Linked DNA regions of Arabidopsis thaliana. The main gene of each other region encodes a partner of the protein of the gene in region 2 in a complex. Each region holds a gene or a part of one and is shown on either strand. Other genes may lie near its edges. A codon is read from its position in the direction of its gene.

Region 1 (4,183 bases), on a different chromosome or scaffold from region 2:
GCTCTTGCCGTCAACGTATCAAGGACATCTGGAAGTAACGGTGTGGTCACCATTTCTGATTGGCTCCGCCGTGCCGGTGGCTCCTTACCTATCTTCGGCATTGAACGAAGACTTATTCGCCGGGTTGGTGCTTCTCAACATCAAAATAGACGGTTGGGTTAGGTGGAAAGTGGGCTCGTGGGTCTCTGGCAGTTATCGCCTCCACGTTAACTGTCCTGCGTTCATTACCGTCACCGGAAAGTTAACCGGCACCGGTCCGGCGATCAAGTACCAGCTTGTTCAGCGATGTGCTGTTGACGTATGAAAAACAAGAAGAAGAATCTTTTTTTTTCTAGGGTGTTAAAGGAGATATAAAGGTAAACTATAGGGCTGTAGCAAATTGTTGTTGATTTGACTTATTAGTTAATTTATCTAAAGGGTGTTAAAAGAAGGGAAGAACAAAACGCTAATTAAACTTGTTCGTTTAAGTAATGTCCATGGTACTAAAGCGAAAGCAGAACATATTAGTAAGTTCACATCATCACATGTATTCCTTTTTATCCAATTCAATTTTAATAGTAGATAGTTTTCATTAGGCAAACGTACGTATGATAAACAAATTTGATGATTTAGAACTACGAGATACTTATTTGAAGTACTCATGTTAAATTTACGTGGAGTTTTAGGCTTTTAGCATATATATAAAAGATTTAACACATGAATGAAATTAATCCTGACATTTTTAGTACTCTCCAGCCTGCACACGAAATTGTCAGGATTAGGCAAAGCTTACAATAGTGGTTTTATTTTCTAGTTGGATATGAATCACATGACAACGACTATGTAGCTGCTGGTATTTATGGAATGAAATATTTAAATATAAAACACACCAAAAATAAATTTTAAAAATTAGCAATCTGAATTATTTATTGTTAGAAACACTTTGTTTATGTTTTGGGATTATAAAATTTTGAAAAATGTACTACAAGATATTTTTGGATTTCATGGGGAAATGACAAAATCATATTTACACATTCACTTTGTCCTAAATATCAGTTCCTTTCCCTTGTTGCTATTGGTTTGTTGGGTACTAAAGTTTTAGCTCCAAAGACTTTTTGTTTGTCATGTGAACTTGAATGCGGACTTCTCGAGTAAATTAATTTCTTCCCAAAATTGTTTTCTTATGGATAACTTCAGCTTTGAAAATAATTATCCTACTTTCTATTATAATGTGCAAACATTATTAGTTTTCAATGAATTGACCTACAAGGTGCTGATTTGTAAGAGTTTAATAGTATTAAATAATCAAAACTGTTTCTGACATTTTAGAAACTCCAAACAGATTATAAAGTTGGCATTTTTAAAAAAGTAGCTATTTTCTAATTAATAACAAAAATATATTGTCATTGTTTTTTTCTTCTAAGAAATATTTTCAAAGGGCTTGTTGGCACAAACTCATGTTTGGTGTGCCTCGTATGAGGATTGATCAGTATTCTCAATCACACGTAAAAAAAATTAATATGTTAAAAATTAATTCTTAAAACCAATTTTTTGCAAGCAACAATTCAAAATCACAATCCCGATGATTCCTTAAATCATGTATTAACTTTATATGTTTTGATGCAACAATTGCAACAAGAAACATATATTTGATGGACACTTGAAAACAGATCCACCAAAAAAATCCCATCAAACCAAGTGTAGATTCTTAGTTATGTATGATTCTATGTAATAGATGATGACTTAATACATGTGAGTTGTGACATCAACGTCACGTTGGTGACGACATTTGCACACCTTACCGTGTGTGTAGCGTGAAGCACAATTATCCTTTTTCTTTTCCATAGAAAATGTTATCAATTTCTTTTCATAAATACAAAATTAACTGATCAACTTGATAACGTGAGAGATGAAAACAAACAAAAACAACACTTTTTTTTTTCTTTTCCTAACTTTAGAACTTTTGTGATTTCATAAAATTTTGGTTTTACAAATTCATAAAGCAAAAAAAGGAAAAAAAGATGATTACTATAGCGAATATTCGTCAACAAACTTAGTCACTTTGCAACTAAACCCACACTTGTAGTCTCTGTAGAGTGTAGTTCACCTTTTTGAGCATTCGTCGCTATGTTTCCACATTTAAACCATAACAGTTGGCCCAAAGAAAAAGTGAAAGCTAATGGGCTTTTTATGTTACTAGGCTTAACCCAGAAAATGACATACAGCTAGCGATACGACATTGGTTTAGCTCTGCAAAACGCTCTATAGTGTCTGTCTGGTCAGAAATTCTTCGACTCACTTTCGGTTTCTGATGTTTTGTCTCTCTGATTGAAAAAGGTAAAATCTCTTGAATCTATATCATATCGCTAAGCTTAATTTGCTGGCTAGGATTTTACCTGATTTTTTGGGTATATAGTGATGATAGAAATTTGAAGTAATTTCTCCAGTTTTCTCATTGATTTAGGGGTTTTAAATGTAGACTTAGTATTCATGAATGAGTTGATTTCTAATTGATATTATCATGTTAATCATCTTGAAGAATTGACCTTGAATTGGTGGTTCATAGATGTCTCATCTTGTACAATTTATTTGCTCGAGGATCTTATGATTCTTGGACATAGTGGAACAAAGATAGCTTTAAAAATGGACGCTGAGATGATTACTTGGTTGATGTATAATAGTTTGGTCTCTTAATTAAGGTTTTGATGGTCCTTAAGGTTAGTGTATAGCTTCTATAGAACTTTTTAGTCTCTCCTTTTAGATGGTTATGACGAATTGACGATTGTGTTATTCACGAGATAATTTGCATCCGAACATGTAAATGTTACACACTTGCAATATTGGTGTGCATGGAGAAATTATAGATTGTGTTAAGTGTTAATCCCAAAATGCATCTGCTAAAAGTGTTGCATAATCATCTTGTTGACTAGATAACTTGTTTTTGTGGTTTGGACAATGTGACGATACTATATATGATGTATGTAAAGATCGGGTTTTGCAAGATGGGAAACAAAGCTACAACGGTGAAAGAAGAACGCGAAGAGATCCATTTGAAGATTGTACCTCCATTGGACAAAGTTTTTCTGCGTTGGCTCGCAAGAGATCTCCAGAGAGTTCATGGATTCAAACCGAAGAACAACACTCGTGCGATCACTCCTCCAGATAGCTACATCGAGTTTATGCGGTTAAATGGATCGCTTGATGTAGATTTAGATGACCCTGATCTTGCCCATTTGTTCAAGTAAAAAGGGGTTCTTCTATTGTTGTCTCTGTTTGTTATGTATGAAGCTTTCAAAGTCTTAGTATCTTTTTTGATTACTCATACAGTCATACTTAAAGCTTGTGTTTTGGAAGCTCAGTCTATAAATATATATTATCTTCTCTAAACAGTATAGCATTCATAAGAGATCCAAGTGTCTGCATTCAGACGACACATGTTTCTATTGTCTTGGTGCTATGATTTGGAATCCCTATGTTTCGAGGTTCCATTTAAAAAAGTTGTTAAATGATGAGACACTCATGAGCATAATTTTCATCAATATAGTTTTGCCTCACCTATGAATTAAAAACAAAAAAACGTATAAGTTCGACAGATTTTGACGATAATTGCTCACACTTAACGCGTGTAACGGATGCTGCAACAGTTTGATGAAATTATTATGCTCCACTTCTTAACATGAATAAATCCAAAATTCATTTTTTTCCCCTCAATCTCAAGGAAATAAAACTGTATCCAAATTAGTTACATAGCTTTATTAACTTCGTTGACTTTAAAAAAAAAAAAACTTACTTAAAATTTTATAATTTTGTATTATATATAAAAATAGGATTATTATTATTTAGTAGAGAGATATTGGTAAAAAGATTTGTGTACAAAGAGAGAGATAAAGAGCGCTAATTCCCTCCACATCAGTATTCAGAACCAAACGCAACTCATTCCCTCGTTTTCTCTCTTCCTCTTCCACCGTCTCTTTTTTTTTTTTTTTTTATAATCCTTCCTCTTCTTCATCTTCTTCTCCTCTCCCGCTTTTTTTCGATTCGCCGATCTCTTCACATTCTCTTCCCGGAATCTCCGTAATTCCCGCCGTAGATCTGCTTCTTAATCGTTATTGGGATCTCTGCTTACCGGAGATCCGAGTTTCCGTGACAATTTTCGCCGTTTCTTTTTTTTTTTGGGGGATTTTTTATCGAGATTCGTTCTTAT
Region 2 (8,506 bases):
GATATGATTGGTTTTGTTAAGTTTTATTGGCTCAATAATGTAAGCAATGATAATGTTGTCTCTCTGATCATAGAAAAAAAGGCTCTATCTTAAATGTGTTGAAGAGTAGATGGATATGGTATCATGTTATTTAATACTCTTCTATGGGACAAAAACTTAAGTTTTGTTTGATGGAAATAAATCTCGGTATTGGTAATGAATTTGAAGCTGATGAATTTGTACTTTTGAATGCATCAAGCTAAGCGCCTTCTTGTTTTACTGTTTCAATCTATCAATTGTTCTATATAGAAGTGTTTTTAGTTCTTTGATGCTGAAAGTGATGTACTTTTCTGTTACTGTCAATCTCTTTGCAGGTAAAGGTTTTGCCACAGGAAGAATTAGCCTAGGAGAAATAGAAGTGGTGAAAATCACCAAGTTCCATCGAGTTTGGAGCTCTGATTCATCACACGACAAATCAAAACGTGCTACATTTTACAGAGCCGATGACATTCCAGAAGGATTCCATTGCCTTGGTCACTATTGCCAGCCAACCGATCAGCCCTTGAGAGGTTATGTACTTGCAGCTCGGACTAGCAAAGCCGTCAATGCTGATGATTTCCCGCCCTTGAAAAAGCCTGTGAGTTATTCTTTAGTTTGGAGTGCAGATTCAGAGAAAAATGGTGGTGGTTATTTCTGGCTACCTAATCCTCCGGTTGGTTACAGAGCAATGGGAGTTATTGTAACCCATGAACCAGGTGAACCTGAAACAGAGGAGGTCAGATGTGTAAGAGAGGATCTTACAGAGAGTTGTGAAACCTCTGAGATGATACTTGAGGTGGGTTCTTCGAAGAAGTCGAACGGCTCTAGTTCTCCTTTTAGTGTATGGAGCACCCGACCTTGCGAGAGAGGGATGCTGTCACAAGGTGTCGCTGTTGGGTCATTCTTTTGCTGCACGTATGATCTGTCGTCTGAGAGGACGGTCCCTGATATCGGATGCTTAAAGAATCTTGATCCGACCTTACACGCGATGCCAAATCTCGACCAGGTCCATGCGGTTATCGAACACTTCGGACCAACAGTCTACTTCCACCCAGAAGAGGCTTACATGCCTTCATCTGTACAATGGTTCTTTAAGAATGGAGCTTTGTTGTACCGGTCAGGGAAATCAGAAGGTCAACCGATTAACTCCACGGGCTCGAACTTGCCTGCTGGAGGATGCAATGATATGGATTTCTGGATAGATCTTCCTGAAGACGAAGAAGCAAAGAGTAATCTCAAGAAAGGAAACCTTGAAAGCTCGGAGCTTTACGTTCATGTGAAACCAGCACTTGGTGGAACTTTCACCGACATCGTTATGTGGATTTTCTGCCCCTTTAATGGCCCAGCCACGCTCAAAATCGGCCTATTCACGTTACCTATGACCCGCATAGGAGAACATGTCGGTGATTGGGAACATTTCACTTTCCGCATATGTAATTTCTCTGGTGAGCTTTGGCAAATGTTCTTTTCTCAGCATAGTGGTGGTGGTTGGGTTGATGCATCAGATATTGAGTTTGTGAAAGATAACAAACCGGCTGTGTACTCATCTAAACACGGACATGCGAGTTTCCCTCATCCAGGAATGTACCTCCAAGGCTCGTCAAAGCTCGGGATTGGAGTCAGAAACGATGTTGCAAAAAGCAAGTACATTGTGGATTCAAGCCAAAGGTATGTGATAGTAGCAGCTGAGTATTTAGGTAAAGGAGCTGTGATAGAGCCGTGCTGGTTACAGTATATGAGAGAATGGGGTCCGACCATTGCATATGATTCAGGGTCTGAGATCAATAAGATCATGAATCTTCTTCCTTTGGTTGTTAGGTTCTCTATTGAGAACATTGTTGATTTGTTTCCCATTGCTCTTTATGGAGAAGAAGGTCCCACAGGGCCAAAGGAGAAAGATAACTGGGAAGGAGATGAGATGTGCTGAAAGAAGACAAACCTCTTTGTGATCAAGACGGTTTAATGGAAGATGAAGTCTCTTGTTGAATCGGAGGGTTTTGATCTCTACTCTACTAGTAATTGTGACTAATATGTAATTTACAGTATACTAGAATAGGGTTTGATCTTGGTGGTTGTAATTTGTTGATGTAAGACCTAAAACGCTGTGTTTGCGGCTGTAATCAGCTGCGACAGCTCATGAGCAATATGAATGATTGATTTTGTTGTACTGCTATCTTCTCGTATCTCTCTGTGTTCTTTACGCTATTGGTTAGATTGAATTCATAACCACCCCCAACTGTTCCGGTTTGACACATCGTTCCGGTTAGTGTGTAGTATTGGACGAAATCGGTTATTGATAATTCGGTTCCGATAATCGGTTTTAATAATGTGTATATTGTAAACTTGAACCGTTCTCTAGTCTCTATCTCTTTCTCTTTCTTCTGATAAACCTCTCGGCACTGCGCTGTGTAGTGAGCTTTCACTTCCGTCGTTAGCTGCAGTTTAAAATCCGGCGAATTGCGGACGGAGAATTCAATCATATAGCATTATTGAGGAGCTGAAATGGAGGTTGTGACAAAGATATGGTGTTGATTTTCACTTCGCCGTTATTGCTGCGATGGATTTCATTTCCGCTTCTTCCTTATCTTCACCCTTTTCCACACAGTTGTCTCCGATTTATTTGAGCTCAGGTATAGTATCGTTAAAGCCTAGACATCGAGTCAAAAATCGAAACTTTGGGTCTAGAGAATCCAATAATAAATCTAGGAAAATTGTGCCCATTAGAGGCTGCTTTGGTTTTTCCGGGAGTTTTTTGAGGTCGAAACAGTCTGATTACGGTAGTGAAGCTGTTTCGGAATCATTGAGATTATGTGGAGAGGGAAATGAGCTTGTGCTATCTTCCGAGTATAATAGCGCAAAGACGAGAGAGAGCGTAATACAGTTTGTTACCAAGCCTCTAGTTTACGCCTTGTTTTGTATTGCAATTGGACTTTCTCCGATTCGCTCTTTTCAAGCTCCAGCTTTAGCTGTGCCTTTCGTCAGTGATGTTATTTGGAAGAAAAAGAAAGAGAGAGTGAGAGAGAAAGAGGTGGTTTTGAAAGCAGTTGATCATGAGTTCTCGGATTATACTCGGAGATTGTTGGAGACAGTCTCGGTTTTACTGAAGACTATTGAGATAGTTAGAAAGGAAAATGGAGAGGTTGCTGAAGTGGGAGCGGCTTTGGATGCAGTTAAGGTGGAGAAGGAGAAACTGCAGAAGGAGATAATGAGTGGGTTATATCGTGATATGAGGCGGTTGAGGAAGGAGAGAGATTTGTTAATGAAACGAGCTGATAAAATTGTAGATGAGGCCCTAAGTTTGAAGAAACAGAGTGAAAAACTGTTGAGAAAAGGTGCTAGGGAGAAAATGGAGAAACTGGAAGAGAGTGTGGATATTATGGAGAGCGAGTACAATAAGATATGGGAAAGAATAGATGAGATTGATGATATCATTTTAAAGAAAGAGACAACAACATTGAGTTTTGGGGTTAGGGAGCTTATTTTCATTGAAAGAGAGTGTGTAGAGTTGGTTAAGAGCTTCAACCGAGAATTGAATCAAAAAAGTTTTGAAAGGTGATATCTCTAGCCATGATTTTAGCAGATATAATATTATTCTACCTTACCTATAGCTGAGATTTTGGTTGCCCTTTAATGAGGATATTTTAACAGTTGATTGTCATAAGCTCATCTTTTTGCAAGATTTCTCTTTGCATTCATCTTATTGCGTGCACTTCTAGCGGTGATGGTAATGTTGTATCTTTTACTTGTTAGATTACCAATTATCTTGTTTGTACTCCTGCACCTAGTCTAACTGTATCTTTTTGTTGGCTTTTATATATGTTTTTAACATGTCTATGCTGTTTTTCCTGTCGACATAAATGTTTCATGTTTCACTTACAAGATCAATTGATTTTCTGGTTGTAGTGTTCCTGAAAGCTCCATTACAAAACTCTCGAGGTCTGAGATTAAGCAGGAATTAGTGAACGCTCAAAGAAAGCACTTGGAACAAATGATACTGCCCAATGTTTTGGAACTAGAGGAGGTTGATCCCTTTTTCGATCGTGACTCAGTGGATTTTTCTCTACGCATCAAAAAACGCCTTGAGGAATCAAAAAAGCTGCAGAGAGATCTTCAGAATCGTATCAGAAAACGTATGAAAAAGTTTGGTGAAGAAAAGCTTTTTGTTCAAAAGACTCCAGAAGGTGAAGCTGTCAAGGGATTTCCTGAAGCAGAGGTGAAATGGATGTTTGGAGAGAAAGAGGTGGTTGTTCCGAAAGCTATCCAGCTCCATCTACGCCATGGTTGGAAAAAGTGGCAGGAAGAAGCAAAAGCCGATTTAAAACAGAAACTTTTGGAAGATGTTGATTTTGGCAAACAATATATTGCGCAGAGACAGGTAACTTTTGGCTTATGATATGAAGTACTAGCCCAAAAGTATGTGGTGTGTTTAATATGGTGGATGGAACAATGCTTTATGTTTTTCATGGTAGATAAATTACACTCTTAGCCTTGCGATTAGCATAATTAATCTATAGCTTTGTATTCTTGGGTGATGGAAACCTCAAGAATTGCCTTGGTGTTGGTAGGTTCTGAAGTTTTTTTTTTATATATATTGAATATGCAATTTCATGTGTTATCTTCTCGAGCTATAAAGTAAATCAGTTTACTTGGGCAAGTGAGAAGCACTTAATTTTTTTTTGGCTCGCTGTAATACGTAAAATGAGACAGTTTTAGTTGAAACCTTGTTGAAAAGTTTATGTACATATGTGTCTTTTGCAGAGTTTATTTTCCCATGTATTGATCATTCACCAATTAGTTAATGAATTTTTAAAATCTGAAGGAACAAGTTCTCCTGGATCGAGATAGAGTTGTTTCGAAGACTTGGTATAACGAAGACAAAAGTAGGTGGGAGATGGACCCTATGGCTGTTCCCTACGCAGTTTCCAGGAAGCTGATTGACAGTGCCAGGATTAGGCATGATTATGCTGTAATGTATGTTGCATTAAAAGGAGATGACAAGGAGTTTTACGTTGATATCAAGGTTGACCAGTTGAAGTCCTTCTCTATTTGATGGATTTTTAAGTTTAGGCTTTTAACTTTTGTCTATGGTTGTAGGAATATGAGATGCTATTTGAGAAATTTGGAGGGTTTGATGCTCTGTACCTCAAAATGCTTGCTTGTGGAATCCCAACTTCTGTTCATCTGATGTGGATACCCATGTCAGAGCTAAGTCTTCAACAACAGTTTCTGTTGGTTACAAGGGTGGTTTCTCGAGTCTTTAACGCATTGAGGAAGACTCAAGTTGTATCAAATGCGAAGGATACAGTATTAGAGAAAATAAGGAATATAAACGATGACATTATGATGGCGGTTGTGTTTCCAGTTATCGAATTTATCATTCCTTACCAGGTATAATGTACGCTCGCTGGATATTTTCCTCCTGTTTCCCTGTGTCTTTTCTTTTTGTTTTATGACTTTTTTCTGATACAGTTAAGGCTGCGTCTGGGAATGGCTTGGCCAGAAGAAATAGAACAGACTGTTGGCTCAACATGGTACTTACAATGGCAGTCTGAAGCAGAAATGAATTTCAAGTCCCGCAATACAGAAGATTTTCAGTGGTTCCTCTGGTTTCTAATTCGAAGTTCTATATACGGGTTTGTTTTGTATCACGTTTTCCGCTTTCTAAAAAGAAAGGTTCCAAGACTTCTTGGCTATGGACCCTTCCGCCGAGATCCCAACGTACGGAAATTCTGGAGAGTGGTATGTAACTTTTCTTTCTCCTTATGCTTCTCTTTCCAACACTCTCAATTTGCGTGAGCAGTAGTATTGTAGCTAGTACACTTACAGTTGATTACTAAAATCAGTTTGATTTGTTTTGCAGAAATCATATTTCACTTATAGAAAAAGGAGAATCAAACAAAAGAGAAAGGCTGGAATCGACCCCATAAAAACTGCATTCGACAGAATGAAGAGAGTGAAAAATCCACCTATCCCATTAAAGAACTTTGCTAGTATTGAGTCTATGAGAGAAGAAATCAACGAGGTTGTGGCATTTTTACAGAATCCAAAGGCATTTCAGGAGATGGGAGCCCGCGCACCTCGGGTATGTTGCTTTACGGTTGTGTGCTTATTTTGTGGGATAGTGTCCGATTGTAAGCATGCTTATTCACGCTGCAGGGCGTTCTTATTGTGGGTGAGAGAGGAACGGGAAAGACGTCACTGGCGCTCGCTATAGCAGCCGAAGCAAGAGTGCCTGTTGTCAATGTTGAAGCTCAAGAGTTGGAAGCTGGGCTATGGGTTGGTCAAAGTGCAGCGAATGTCAGGGAACTCTTTCAAACTGCAAGAGACTTGGTTAGCTTCTTTGCCTCAGATTTTTTTGTTGATTCATTCATTTTCATAGATATTAAATTTTGAGTTCTCATGATATTCAGGTTCCGAATCTTATGTACATCAGTTTCAATGTCATCTTATGTTCTGATGTTTACTGTGATGACTAGGCACCTGTAATCATTTTTGTGGAGGATTTTGACCTCTTTGCTGGTGTACGCGGGAAGTTTGTACATACAAAACAGCAAGATCATGAATCGTTCATTAATCAGCTTCTTGTTGAACTTGATGGGTAAGAGCCAATTTCTATGTTGATTAAAAATTAAGACCAGATTTGAAGCATTCATAGCGGTTTCTCAAAGTAGCATTCTCCTTTTTCCGGTTGACTTTTCTGATGTCATTCCACTTTATAATTTCTACTTATGCAGCTTTGAGAAACAGGATGGCGTAGTTTTGATGGCGACGACACGAAATCATAAGCAAATTGATGAGGCGCTAAGAAGGCCAGGTCGTATGGATAGAGTATTCCATCTTCAAAGTCCAACTGAAATGGAAAGGGAGAGGATTTTACACAACGCTGCAGAAGAAACCATGGACCGAGAACTCGTTGATCTAGTGGATTGGCGTAAGGTGATCTTAAGCTTTGCAAAGTTGTTTATATGTGCTAGCGATTATATATGTTTTTACCTATTGTCTATTTTCTTTTGCACCTCCAAAGTTTTGATGGTTCATTTCTATTATGGTTGTGAGTACTATATCATGTCGTGTTTCTTCTTTCTTGGGTTTATCTCTCTGTAGTTCTGTTCCACTATTTTAATAACCAGTTCATGGTTACAGGTTTCAGAGAAGACAACTTTATTAAGACCGATAGAACTGAAACTTGTTCCAATGGCTCTCGAAAGTAGTGCCTTCAGAAGCAAATTTCTGGACACTGACGAACTTCTGAGTTACGTTAGCTGGTTTGCGGTAAGAAATTTGTCATTTTCGTCGCCTAAGGTCAAACCATTTTTTGTTCATTTCTTAGTATGGTTTCATCAGGTGATTTCTTTCTCTTTTCTGACAGACGTTTAGCCATATAGTGCCCCCATGGCTGCGAAAAACTAAAGTTGCAAAGACAATGGGCAAAATGCTTGTGAATCATCTTGGACTTAACTTAACCAAAGATGATTTGGAGAATGTGGTTGATCTGATGGAACCATATGGACAAATAAGTAATGGAATAGAACTTTTGAATCCTACTGTTGATTGGACGAGGGAGACAAAGTTCCCACATGCTGTCTGGGCGGCTGGTCGTGCTCTCATCACACTTCTAATACCAAACTTTGATGTTGTGGAAAATCTTTGGCTTGAGCCTAGTTCCTGGGAAGGAATTGGGTGTACAAAAATCACCAAGGTCACAAGTGGAGGCTCCGCGATTGGGAACACGGAATCAAGATCATATCTTGAAAAGAAGCTCGTTTTCTGCTTTGGATCTCACATTGCATCCCAAATGCTTCTTCCTCCCGGAGATGAAAATTTTCTTTCTTCTTCAGAAATAACTAAAGCGCAGGAGGTAAACTCTGTCTACTGTTTTGCGGTATGCTGTCATCTACATACTTAATGTTTCGTTTCCCCATGATTATTATTTGTGTCTTGCAACAGATTGCAACACGTATGGTGCTTCAATATGGCTGGGGACCCGATGACAGTCCTGCAGTATACTATGCTACTAACGCGGTAACCTTCATTGTTTTACTTGAAATTGGTTCCATTCCAAGACTAAATGTCTGATACCACTGAACCAACATGTTGAATACTGAACATGATGATTCGATCTTACATACAGTTTGCATTCATTCTGATGTCTCATCTGGTCAGTTGATTGACCTTATACTTTTTTTTCTTTCTGTTTGGTTTATTTGATTCGAATGAGCAGGTTTCAGCTTTGAGTATGGGGAACAATCACGAATATGAAATGGCGGGTAAAGTTGAAAAGGTTTGTTTTGCTCTCTAGTTTCCAATACGTTCTTAATATCTGCCAGTGTCATTGGTGCCTCTCTAGTGTTCGCAATTTTCTATCTTCAGCTTCGCTTTTCAGTTGGTTCAAGCATTGTCCAAGGCTAAAATACATAACCTCTCTAATGTCATCTTGTTCCTCTACAGTCTCTAATGTCATCTTATTCCTTTACAGATTTATGACTTA
Region 3 (7,672 bases), on a different chromosome or scaffold from region 2:
TTGGGTTTTAGATTGTTGTACCCGTGGATATAGGATAATAGCCGACCCAAACCCGATACCCGAAAGGGTATCAACTTATCCGAAATTACATATACTTATTCATAGATTTATACATATAAAAATTTATTTTATATTTAATATTTGAACCAAATACATTTATATCCAAATATCCAATAATAATTACTAAAAACTAAATGTACCTATATTTAAATACTTAATACTAAATATTTTATATATGCAAAATATTCGTAAATGTTTTGGATATTTGGACAAAATTTCGGTTATTCGGGTAAAATTCAGATATTTGGGTAAAATTTTCGACTATTTGGGTATAATTTCGGGTATTTGGGTAAAATTATCGACTATTTGGGTACAAATTTCGGGTATTTGGTACAATTTCGGGTATTTGGGTAAATTTTTGGGTATTTGGATATAAAATACATGAATCCGAAGGATACCCGTTTTTTTCGAGTATTTAACGGTTCTAAAATTCTATACCCGAACCAACCCAAACCCGATTAGAACCGAACCACCGAAGTTTTCTATTTACTCTATTGGATTCTAGAACAGTATACCCGTACCCGATCGGGTATTACCCGAACCGACCCGCATACCCGAATACCCGGCCCTACGTTATGGCTATAAGTGTATTTACTATACAGAAAACGTTAATCCAAACAAAGAATATGGAAAGCATGCATATCTATGTAGACTAATGTTAAGGCTATTACAATTGGCAACCGAAAATTTCGTGTTAAGTTGTAATTTAGTATACGTACAAAATCTAAAAGTACAATAGCTTTGTATTAATATTTGCAATTTTCTAACTTGATGGATTCAGAAAAGAACCCAAGAGGTTTCACTTCACATACATGTATTTTTGAAAAATAACCATGTCACTTTTACAATTGTTTTTTAATATTAACAACGGACGGCTACGATGGAACCATCACTCGAGGAAATCGCGATCCTACAATTACATTTAGCCGCGATTCGGTGAGTAAACAAACCGAGAACCCGAACCCGACCCGCCATCTCCAGCTTCGACTCTATTTCCACTGTTGACCCGGACCGATCCGAATTTTGAAATTGGGCGGCGGAGATTTGAGAACTAGAGGCCGCCGCGAGAGGAAACGACTGAACGGAGAAAGTAGCTAACATACGCTTGGTTCGACCCGATTCGATCTCACCAGCAGGTACGAAGGTATAACCGATCCGGTTTCCATAGTAAAAGAGCTGGATTACATTGTTGTAGTGTGAGAAAGCTGCGCGGTTAGGGTTTCTAACGGCGGAGAATTGAGAAAAGGTGAAACTAACGGAGCTATTAGCGACGGAGAATGAAGGAACCTTGACGCTAGTGACGGAGATCTCAGGATCTCTCGGTCTAAAGACTGTGAGATAAACAGTAAGTGCGGCGATGATTAAGAAGACTATGAAGAGCGTGGCGACGGCGCATGAAGCGAGGTTTGAACAAGACTTCGACATTTCTCGGTGGAGATGTTTGGTAGCGATGATTTAAGTGTTCACTAGTTGGGATAAAGAGTTTATTTTTGGTTAAAGGGAAAGCAAAACGACGTGTAAAAGCAAAAGGATGTTTTGTTTGGACATAGTGATAACGTTACAACGGAGTTTGGACTTAAGTGTGTGTGATGCAGCGAAGGTGGCCGACTAGAGCTAAATAAATTATTTTAGTGAACAAACAATGTACCCGGAACAGAAACCGGGTTTCGAAGTCGGGTCGAATTGTTGTAATTTAGAGCTAACAGAACAAAAACCTCCTGAGATTGAATAAACCTCCGATTGCTCTATTTTCTTATCCAGAACGAAGAGAGATTCAAATTTCGCAATGCGATTCTAGTGAAGCTTCTTTTTCTTCTGTACATGGTTATCGTCGTAAAATGGCGTCTATAGACAATGTTTTCTCACTCGGTACTCGGTTCTCAATCCCAGAAAACCCCAAGAGATCGATATTGAAACACGCGACTACATCGAGTTTCTCCGCGAGAACTCAAACTCGATGGAGAGCTCCAATTCTGCGTCGGTCGTTTACAGTTTTGTGCGAATTGAAAACTGGGTCATCTAGCTCCGGCGAGACGAACAATTCCCCTGCTGCTGACGATTTCGTAACTAGGGTTTTGAAGGAGAATCCTAGCCAAGTGGAACCTCGTTACCGAGTTGGTGATAAGCTGTATAATCTGAAGGAGAGAGAAGATTTAAGCAAAGGCACCAATGCGGCGACGGGTGCGTTTGAATTTATCAAAAGGAAGTTTGATTCGAAGAAGAAAACAGAGACAGACAAAAGCGAAGAGTCTGTTTATTTGAGTGATATTTTGAGGGAGTACAAAGGAAAGCTTTATGTTCCGGAGCAAGTTTTTGGGCCAGAGTTATCTGAAGAAGAGGAGTTTGAGAAAAATGTGAAAGATTTACCAAAGATGAGTTTGGAAGATTTTAGAAAAGCTATGGAGAATGATAAAGTTAAGCTGCTTACATCGAAGGAAGTTTCTGGTGTTTCTTATACGAGTGGCTATAGAGGTTTTATTGTTGATCTTAAGGAGATTCCTGGAGTCAAGAGCTTACAGAGAACCAAATGGTGAATTACTAGGATTAAGAAGAAGAATAAAAGTTTTAATTTTGATGTATGGAGAATATTGGTATGATTTTCTTATTGATCTGTTTCTTGATAGGTCAATGAAGCTTGAAGTTGGAGAAGCTCAAGCTCTTCTGAAAGAATACACGGGTCCGCAGTACGAAATTGAAAGGCACATGACGGTGATCACGCTTTTGTTCATTTAGATCTTATCTACTAGATTATATAATCTAATGTCCTCAATATTTTTGTATTGTGTTGGTTAGGAATTTTTCATAACCTATTCACTAGGTTGACAAACAGATCTATTTTGTTCTGTTATTGACTGAGTTTATATGTTTGCAGTCTTGGGTTGGAAAAGTGGCGGACTTCCCAAACCCTGTTGCGTCTTCTATTTCAAGTAGAGTGATGGTTGAGCTGGGAATGGTGACAGCAGTTATTGCTGCAGCCGCAGTTGTTGTTGGAGGATTCTTAGCCTCAGCTGTTTTTGCAGTCACTAGTTTCGCCTTTGTCACTACAGTATATGTTGTTTGGCCTATAGCAAAGCCATTCCTCAAACTTTTTGTTGGCGTCTTCCTTGGTGTTCTTGAAAAATCATGGGATTACATTGTTGATGTTCTCGCCGATGGGGGCATCTTCTCAAGGATTTCTGATTTCTATACATTTGGTGGTGTAGCATCAAGTCTGGAGATGCTCAAACCAATCCTACTTGTTGTCATGACTATGGTTCTTCTTGTTCGTTTCACACTGTCACGGAGACCAAAGAACTTTAGGAAATGGGTATAATACTTTAATCACTCAACACTTTTTTGCAGAATCTATTGATATCGCTTGCGCCCTCAATCACTTCAAATGTTTTTGCAGGATTTATGGCAAGGGATTGCTTTTTCTCAGTCTAAAGCAGAAGCTCGTGTTGATGTAAGTTTCTAACCATTACTCCTATATGCATGTTTCTTCAGTTCTAATACTTTTTTGGTTGAGTTTTTTATGACTTCAATGATTATATTTCAGGGTTCAACCGGTGTTAAATTCGCTGATGTTGCAGGGATTGATGAAGCAGTTGATGAACTTCAAGAGGTATCGCTTGACCAAATTTCTCGTGCAATTACTTTAGTATGCTTGCGCCAGTTCTTCCCTGAGTATGGATCTCTTGTTTTATTATGTGCATTCTTGGTTAGCTTAGCCTCTAAAACCCTTACCATTAGGGCTTCACTGCTACCCCATCAAGTATAAAGTTGCATGACATTATTTCGTTGAATCTTGGAAGCTCGAGAGAAACCGGGATCTGAAGCTTACTAACCTCTTAGTCTCATTACGATTATCTCATTTTCTTGATAGCTTGTAAAGTACTTGAAGAATCCCGACCTGTTTGATAAAATGGGAATTAAACCTCCCCATGGAGTTCTTCTGGAGGGTCCCCCTGGTTGTGGCAAGGTATGTGTAACCATCTATGCTAATGCCAATCGAAAAGATTTATTGTTAAGTATTGAATAGTATTTTTGTAGCAGCATTATACTTTAGAATACTAAGAAATACTATAGATAATCAAACATGCAGTGGTGCCTGTTGAGATCAATTCTGCTGAGGTTGATGGTTGTATTTCAGAGTATGCTGAGTGTTTGGCAATATCATCACTACTCCTTCAACTTAAACCTGAAATTTGTCTTAAAAAAGTTTTGAATGTTTAGTTGCTATTAACAAGTTATGATTGATTCCTATTCTCGATTGAGATCTTATAAAATCTCAATGTTTTATACAATTGTCAATGATCAGTTTACCTCTTATTGTAGTCGATTAGCTTTATCTACAAGGATCTTTTGACAACCCAGTTGCTAGCAATATAGAGCCTAACCTAACCTGATTTGCTTTCGTAGACACTCGTTGCAAAAGCCATTGCGGGGGAAGCTGGTGTACCGTTCTACCAAATGGCAGGATCTGAATTCGTCGAAGTTCTTGTTGGAGTTGGGTCAGCTCGTATCAGAGATCTGTTTAAAAGAGCTAAGGTGATTGGACATATGTGTATTTATACATTTCTGTGCAGAGATGTTAAATAGTATTTGATGATGTCTATGTCCTTGTGCAGGTAAACAAGCCATCCGTTATTTTCATCGATGAAATTGATGCCTTAGCAACTCGGTATACAATATTTTCGTCCCTTGTATCTAGATTTTGATATACTACCTTCCTTGCATAATTTTTCAACTTGAGACGGAGTTTAACTGATATCGCTCTTTATATTTTGGTATTCGTTAGACGTCAAGGGATTTTCAAGGAAAACTCAGACCAGTTGTACAATGCGGCCACACAAGAAAGAGAAACCACATTGAACCAGCTACTCATCGAGCTTGATGGTTTTGACACAGGCAAAGGTGTGATTTTCTTGGGTGCCACCAATCGCAGAGATTTGTTAGACCCTGCTCTTCTACGTCCAGGTCGATTTGATCGAAAGGTTTGTGATTAACAAAATCTAGACACTAAATCTTCTGTTCTCAAATTTTTGATAGCAGTTATTCGAATTAATAAACAACCAAACGACAATCGCAAGCCATTTGAATTTATCTTGCATTAATTTTGTAGACTTAAGAGTACCGGATAGACCGTTAAAAATAATCTTCTTATCAGATAAGAGTCCGTCCCCCTAATGCGAAAGGGAGATTGGATATTCTGAAGATTCATGCCAGCAAAGTCAAGATGTCGGATTCTGTTGACTTATCATCTTATGCAAGTAACTTACCAGGTATAAAATCTACAATTGATGTTGCAAAGAATATTTGTTATGCTCATGGTGTACCTTTTCCCATAGACAACTTATGTGTTTGAACGTATTGGCCTGTATAAAACTTTGATTAAAGTAATTGTTTATATCAATTACAGGATGGTCCGGAGCAAAACTGGCACAGTTGGTTCAAGAGGCTGCTCTTGTAGCTGTCAGGAAAACGCATAACTCGATTCTTCAATCAGACATGGACGACGCTGTGGACCGACTCACTGTTGGTCCGACACGTATTGGTTTAGAATTGGGACATCAAGGTCAGTGTCGTAGAGCCACAACTGAAGTCGGAGTGGCAATCACTTCACATCTTTTATTGCGGTATGAGAATGCAAAGATTGAGCGGTGCGATCGCGTTTCTATCATTCCTCGTGGTCAGACACTGTCTCAAGTTGTGTTTCATCGGCTTGATGATGAGTCCTACATGTTTGGTCGTCTTCCACAACTGCTTCATCGTCTTCAGGTGCTTCTTTTTCTCTATTAAAAAAACTCTTCACTCATTTCTCTAATATTCGATGTTACGAGTTTATTATACTTCTAAAATTTCTATTTCAGGTCTTGCTCGGAGGAAGAGCTGCAGAAGAAGTGATCTACGGTTCAGATACTTCAAAGGCATCAGTCGATTATCTCTCTGACGCCTCATGGCTAGCTCGTAAAATCTTAACCATGTGAGAGGCCCAATTTTGCATATTTTCACATTCCCCTTTAAAGTAAAAGCTTCTTCTTACTCAAGACTTATATATATTTGGATTTCAGATGGAACCTGGAGAACCCAATGGTGATACATGGCGAACCACCACCATGGAGAAAGAGACCTCAGTTCGTGGGACCACGCTTAGACTTTGAAGGATCTCTCTATGACGACTATGACCTCGTCGAGCCGCCAGTTAACTTCAACATGGATGATGAAGTCGCACATAGAAGCGAAGAACTCATTAGCCAGATGTATAACAAAACAGTTTCTCTCCTCAGGCAAAACCAAACCGCTCTCCTCAAAACCGTTAAGGTAATTTCAAACATTTAACCGCAATTGCGTTTTCGTTTGATTTGTTCATACTTTTATTTTCCCATGTGTAGGTTCTATTGAACCAGAAAGAGATAAGTGGAGAAGCAATAGACTTCATACTTGACCATTACCCTCCTCAGACTCCGTTAAATTCTCTCTTACAAGAGCAAAATCCGGGAAGTCTTCCTTTTGTCCCTGAACATCTCCGGCGTGAATCCGGCGACTTTGTCCTTGTTAATCACTCTACCGACGTCAATGCTCAAGTATGATTCCGGCGTCCCAGAGACATCAAATCACTAAGCTTAGGTTTATTCATTGTCCGTCATTGTAACTTCGACTCAATCTCTGAAGTTTCGGACAGTTAAATTTACAGAAATAAAGAAAAAAACTTGGGTCAAAGACACTTCTTTGATTTGCTAACAATAGATTAGACAAACTTAAGTATAAATTTAGAAACAAAAAAAGTTTTAATTCCGAGGAAATCGACGGACAAAAAGTTTGGTTCTTTGTTTCAAACCACACAAGACAGCAACAACACGAGTCATGCACTCTCTTTCTTACCTTTTTTCTTCTTCTTCATCCGTCTTCTTTTGCTCTTGTTCCTCGTGCCCTCTTCTCGGTTTCTACAGATACAGGTCATAGTCATACAACCAACGATCTCTCTTGACTCTCTCCATCTGTGCATGTCACACACGAGTATAGATCTCTTCTCTGCTTTATAGATATGGCGAGGCGCGGAAGCTGTTCGACGATATGCCTGAATGAAAAATTGCAAAGGTTTCGAATTGTCAGAATCTCCGACAAGGCTGATAATTTTAATTCCAGAAGCGGCAGCTTCTTCGAGCGTTCTATCTCTCTCGTTCTCTTACTCTGGTGCTTCCTCTTCCTCGTCTACTCCAAGCTTGGCCAAAGCCATGATGATTATGGTAATGCAGGTAAGTGTTCTTCCTTGTTTGAGAGAGATTCCGTTATCATTTCAAATGTTAATTAAGGAAACAAATTTAGGGTCTTTTAACTTGGGGGGTATATTCCAGAGATTGCTATATTGTGTTCCTCTGAAGAAATCAATTTATTTTGTAGATAGAATTGGGAATTACACTGATGGATCAGTCTCAAAGACACTGAATTCCACGAGTTCTGTCTTCCCTCAGGCCACTGAGAAAGAAAACAACTTTTGTCTCCTGAGAAAAGGCCAGTTACAAGATGTGTATGAGCATGTTCTTGTGAACAACGCTTTGTTGATCTGCAAAGTTGTGTTGCCAGAACGAAGAATAAGCAAGAAAACTCTGGAAGCTCGTGATCCTAGATA

The links.
Region 1: the proteins of emb2458 (region 2) and AT5G22210 are in contact, whole or in part, in a cryo-EM structure (PDB 8XKU), measured with the Arabidopsis thaliana proteins. Residues at the interface, in NP_187084.6 of Arabidopsis thaliana: Lys294 (codon at 3,455), Phe302 (codon at 3,479), Arg305 (codon at 3,488), Phe309 (codon at 3,500), Arg404 (codon at 4,136), Ile405 (codon at 4,139), Arg408 (codon at 4,148), Glu424 (codon at 4,196), Phe431 (codon at 4,217), Pro432 (codon at 4,220), Glu435 (codon at 4,229), Val436 (codon at 4,232), Val446 (codon at 4,262), Val447 (codon at 4,265), Pro448 (codon at 4,268), Lys449 (codon at 4,271), Gln452 (codon at 4,280), Leu453 (codon at 4,283), His454 (codon at 4,286), Arg456 (codon at 4,292), His457 (codon at 4,295), Gly458 (codon at 4,298), Trp459 (codon at 4,301), Lys461 (codon at 4,307), Trp462 (codon at 4,310), Gln463 (codon at 4,313), Ala466 (codon at 4,322), Lys467 (codon at 4,325), Leu470 (codon at 4,334), Lys471 (codon at 4,337); in NP_680207.1 of Arabidopsis thaliana: Glu14, Ile15, His16, Lys18, Val20, Pro21, Pro22, Leu23, Asp24, Val26, Phe27, Leu28, Trp30, Leu31, Arg33, Arg37, Val38, His39, Phe41, Lys42, Pro43, Lys44, Asn45, Thr47, Arg48, Ala49, Ile50, Thr51, Pro52, Pro53.
Region 3: the proteins of emb2458 (region 2) and FtsHi1 are in contact, whole or in part, in a cryo-EM structure (PDB 8XKV), measured with the Arabidopsis thaliana proteins. Residues at the interface, in NP_187084.6 of Arabidopsis thaliana: Arg815 (codon at 6,089), Gln902 (codon at 6,570), Lys934 (codon at 6,802), Glu938 (codon at 6,814), Arg942 (codon at 6,826), Pro943 (codon at 6,829), Asp947 (codon at 6,841), Arg948 (codon at 6,844), Thr1148 (codon at 7,748), Glu1149 (codon at 7,751), Ser1150 (codon at 7,754), Arg1151 (codon at 7,757), Ser1152 (codon at 7,760), Leu1154 (codon at 7,766), Gln1198 (codon at 7,987), Tyr1199 (codon at 7,990), Trp1201 (codon at 7,996), Asp1205 (codon at 8,008), Pro1207 (codon at 8,014), Ala1208 (codon at 8,017), Val1209 (codon at 8,020), Tyr1210 (codon at 8,023), Tyr1211 (codon at 8,026), Ala1212 (codon at 8,029), Asn1214 (codon at 8,035), Ala1215 (codon at 8,038), Val1216 (codon at 8,240), Ser1217 (codon at 8,243), Ala1218 (codon at 8,246), Leu1219 (codon at 8,249); in NP_567691.1 of Arabidopsis thaliana: Ser497 (codon at 4,522), Val500 (codon at 4,531), Glu653 (codon at 5,497), Leu656 (codon at 5,506), Arg660 (codon at 5,518), Leu678 (codon at 5,572), Arg684 (codon at 5,590), Gln692 (codon at 5,614), Gly693 (codon at 5,617), Arg696 (codon at 5,626), Arg697 (codon at 5,629), Gly731 (codon at 5,731), Gln732 (codon at 5,734), Leu763 (codon at 5,919), Arg766 (codon at 5,928), Val771 (codon at 5,943), Ile772 (codon at 5,946), Tyr773 (codon at 5,949), Gly774 (codon at 5,952), Ser775 (codon at 5,955), Asp776 (codon at 5,958), Thr777 (codon at 5,961), Ser778 (codon at 5,964), Lys779 (codon at 5,967), Ala780 (codon at 5,970), Val782 (codon at 5,976), Leu785 (codon at 5,985), Ser786 (codon at 5,988), Ser789 (codon at 5,997), Arg793 (codon at 6,009).

Annotation. Positions count from the first base shown.
Region 1 is NC_003076.8:7,356,568-7,360,750, forward strand, and holds AT5G22210 (aspartyl/glutamyl-tRNA (Asn/Gln) amidotransferase subunit B), read left to right. Parts: upstream 1-2,210; 5' UTR 2,211-2,316; intron 2,317-2,966; 5' UTR 2,967-2,981; coding exon 2,982-3,224; 3' UTR 3,225-3,484; downstream 3,485-4,183. Other genes in the region: AT5G22200 (Late embryogenesis abundant (LEA) hydroxyproline-rich glycoprotein family), read left to right, coding at 1-304; E2F1 (E2F transcription factor 1), read left to right, coding at 4,182-4,183.
Region 2 is NC_003074.8:1,147,411-1,155,916, reverse strand, and holds the start of emb2458 (FtsH extracellular protease family), read left to right. Parts: upstream 1-2,266; 5' UTR 2,267-2,575; coding exon 2,576-3,570; intron 3,571-3,921; coding exon 3,922-4,393; intron 4,394-4,837; coding exon 4,838-5,038; intron 5,039-5,112; coding exon 5,113-5,406; intron 5,407-5,487; coding exon 5,488-5,757; intron 5,758-5,878; coding exon 5,879-6,100; intron 6,101-6,174; coding exon 6,175-6,348; intron 6,349-6,494; coding exon 6,495-6,616; intron 6,617-6,752; coding exon 6,753-6,954; intron 6,955-7,161; coding exon 7,162-7,290; intron 7,291-7,387; coding exon 7,388-7,876; intron 7,877-7,965; coding exon 7,966-8,040; intron 8,041-8,239; coding exon 8,240-8,299; intron 8,300-8,494; coding exon 8,495-8,506. Other genes in the region: AT3G04350 (vacuolar sorting-associated protein (DUF946)), read left to right, coding at 354-1,945. UniProt on the Arabidopsis thaliana protein: Required for plastid development during embryogenesis. Might be involved in chaperone functions or play a structural role in the thylakoid FtsH complex.
Region 3 is NC_003075.7:12,435,210-12,442,881, forward strand, and holds FtsHi1 (FtsH extracellular protease family), read left to right. Parts: upstream 1-1,898; coding exon 1,899-2,590; intron 2,591-2,684; coding exon 2,685-2,769; intron 2,770-2,932; coding exon 2,933-3,367; intron 3,368-3,451; coding exon 3,452-3,505; intron 3,506-3,598; coding exon 3,599-3,664; intron 3,665-3,925; coding exon 3,926-4,021; intron 4,022-4,461; coding exon 4,462-4,590; intron 4,591-4,670; coding exon 4,671-4,723; intron 4,724-4,840; coding exon 4,841-5,036; intron 5,037-5,209; coding exon 5,210-5,324; intron 5,325-5,461; coding exon 5,462-5,820; intron 5,821-5,912; coding exon 5,913-6,025; intron 6,026-6,113; coding exon 6,114-6,363; intron 6,364-6,434; coding exon 6,435-6,632; 3' UTR 6,633-6,821; downstream 6,822-7,672. Other genes in the region: AT4G23930 (Late embryogenesis abundant (LEA) hydroxyproline-rich glycoprotein family), read right to left, coding at 922-1,485; AT4G23950 (Galactose-binding protein), read left to right, coding at 7,088-7,298, 7,444-7,672. UniProt on the Arabidopsis thaliana protein: Functions in chloroplast biogenesis and chloroplast division. Required for plastid development during embryogenesis. Might be involved in chaperone functions or play a structural role in the thylakoid FtsH complex.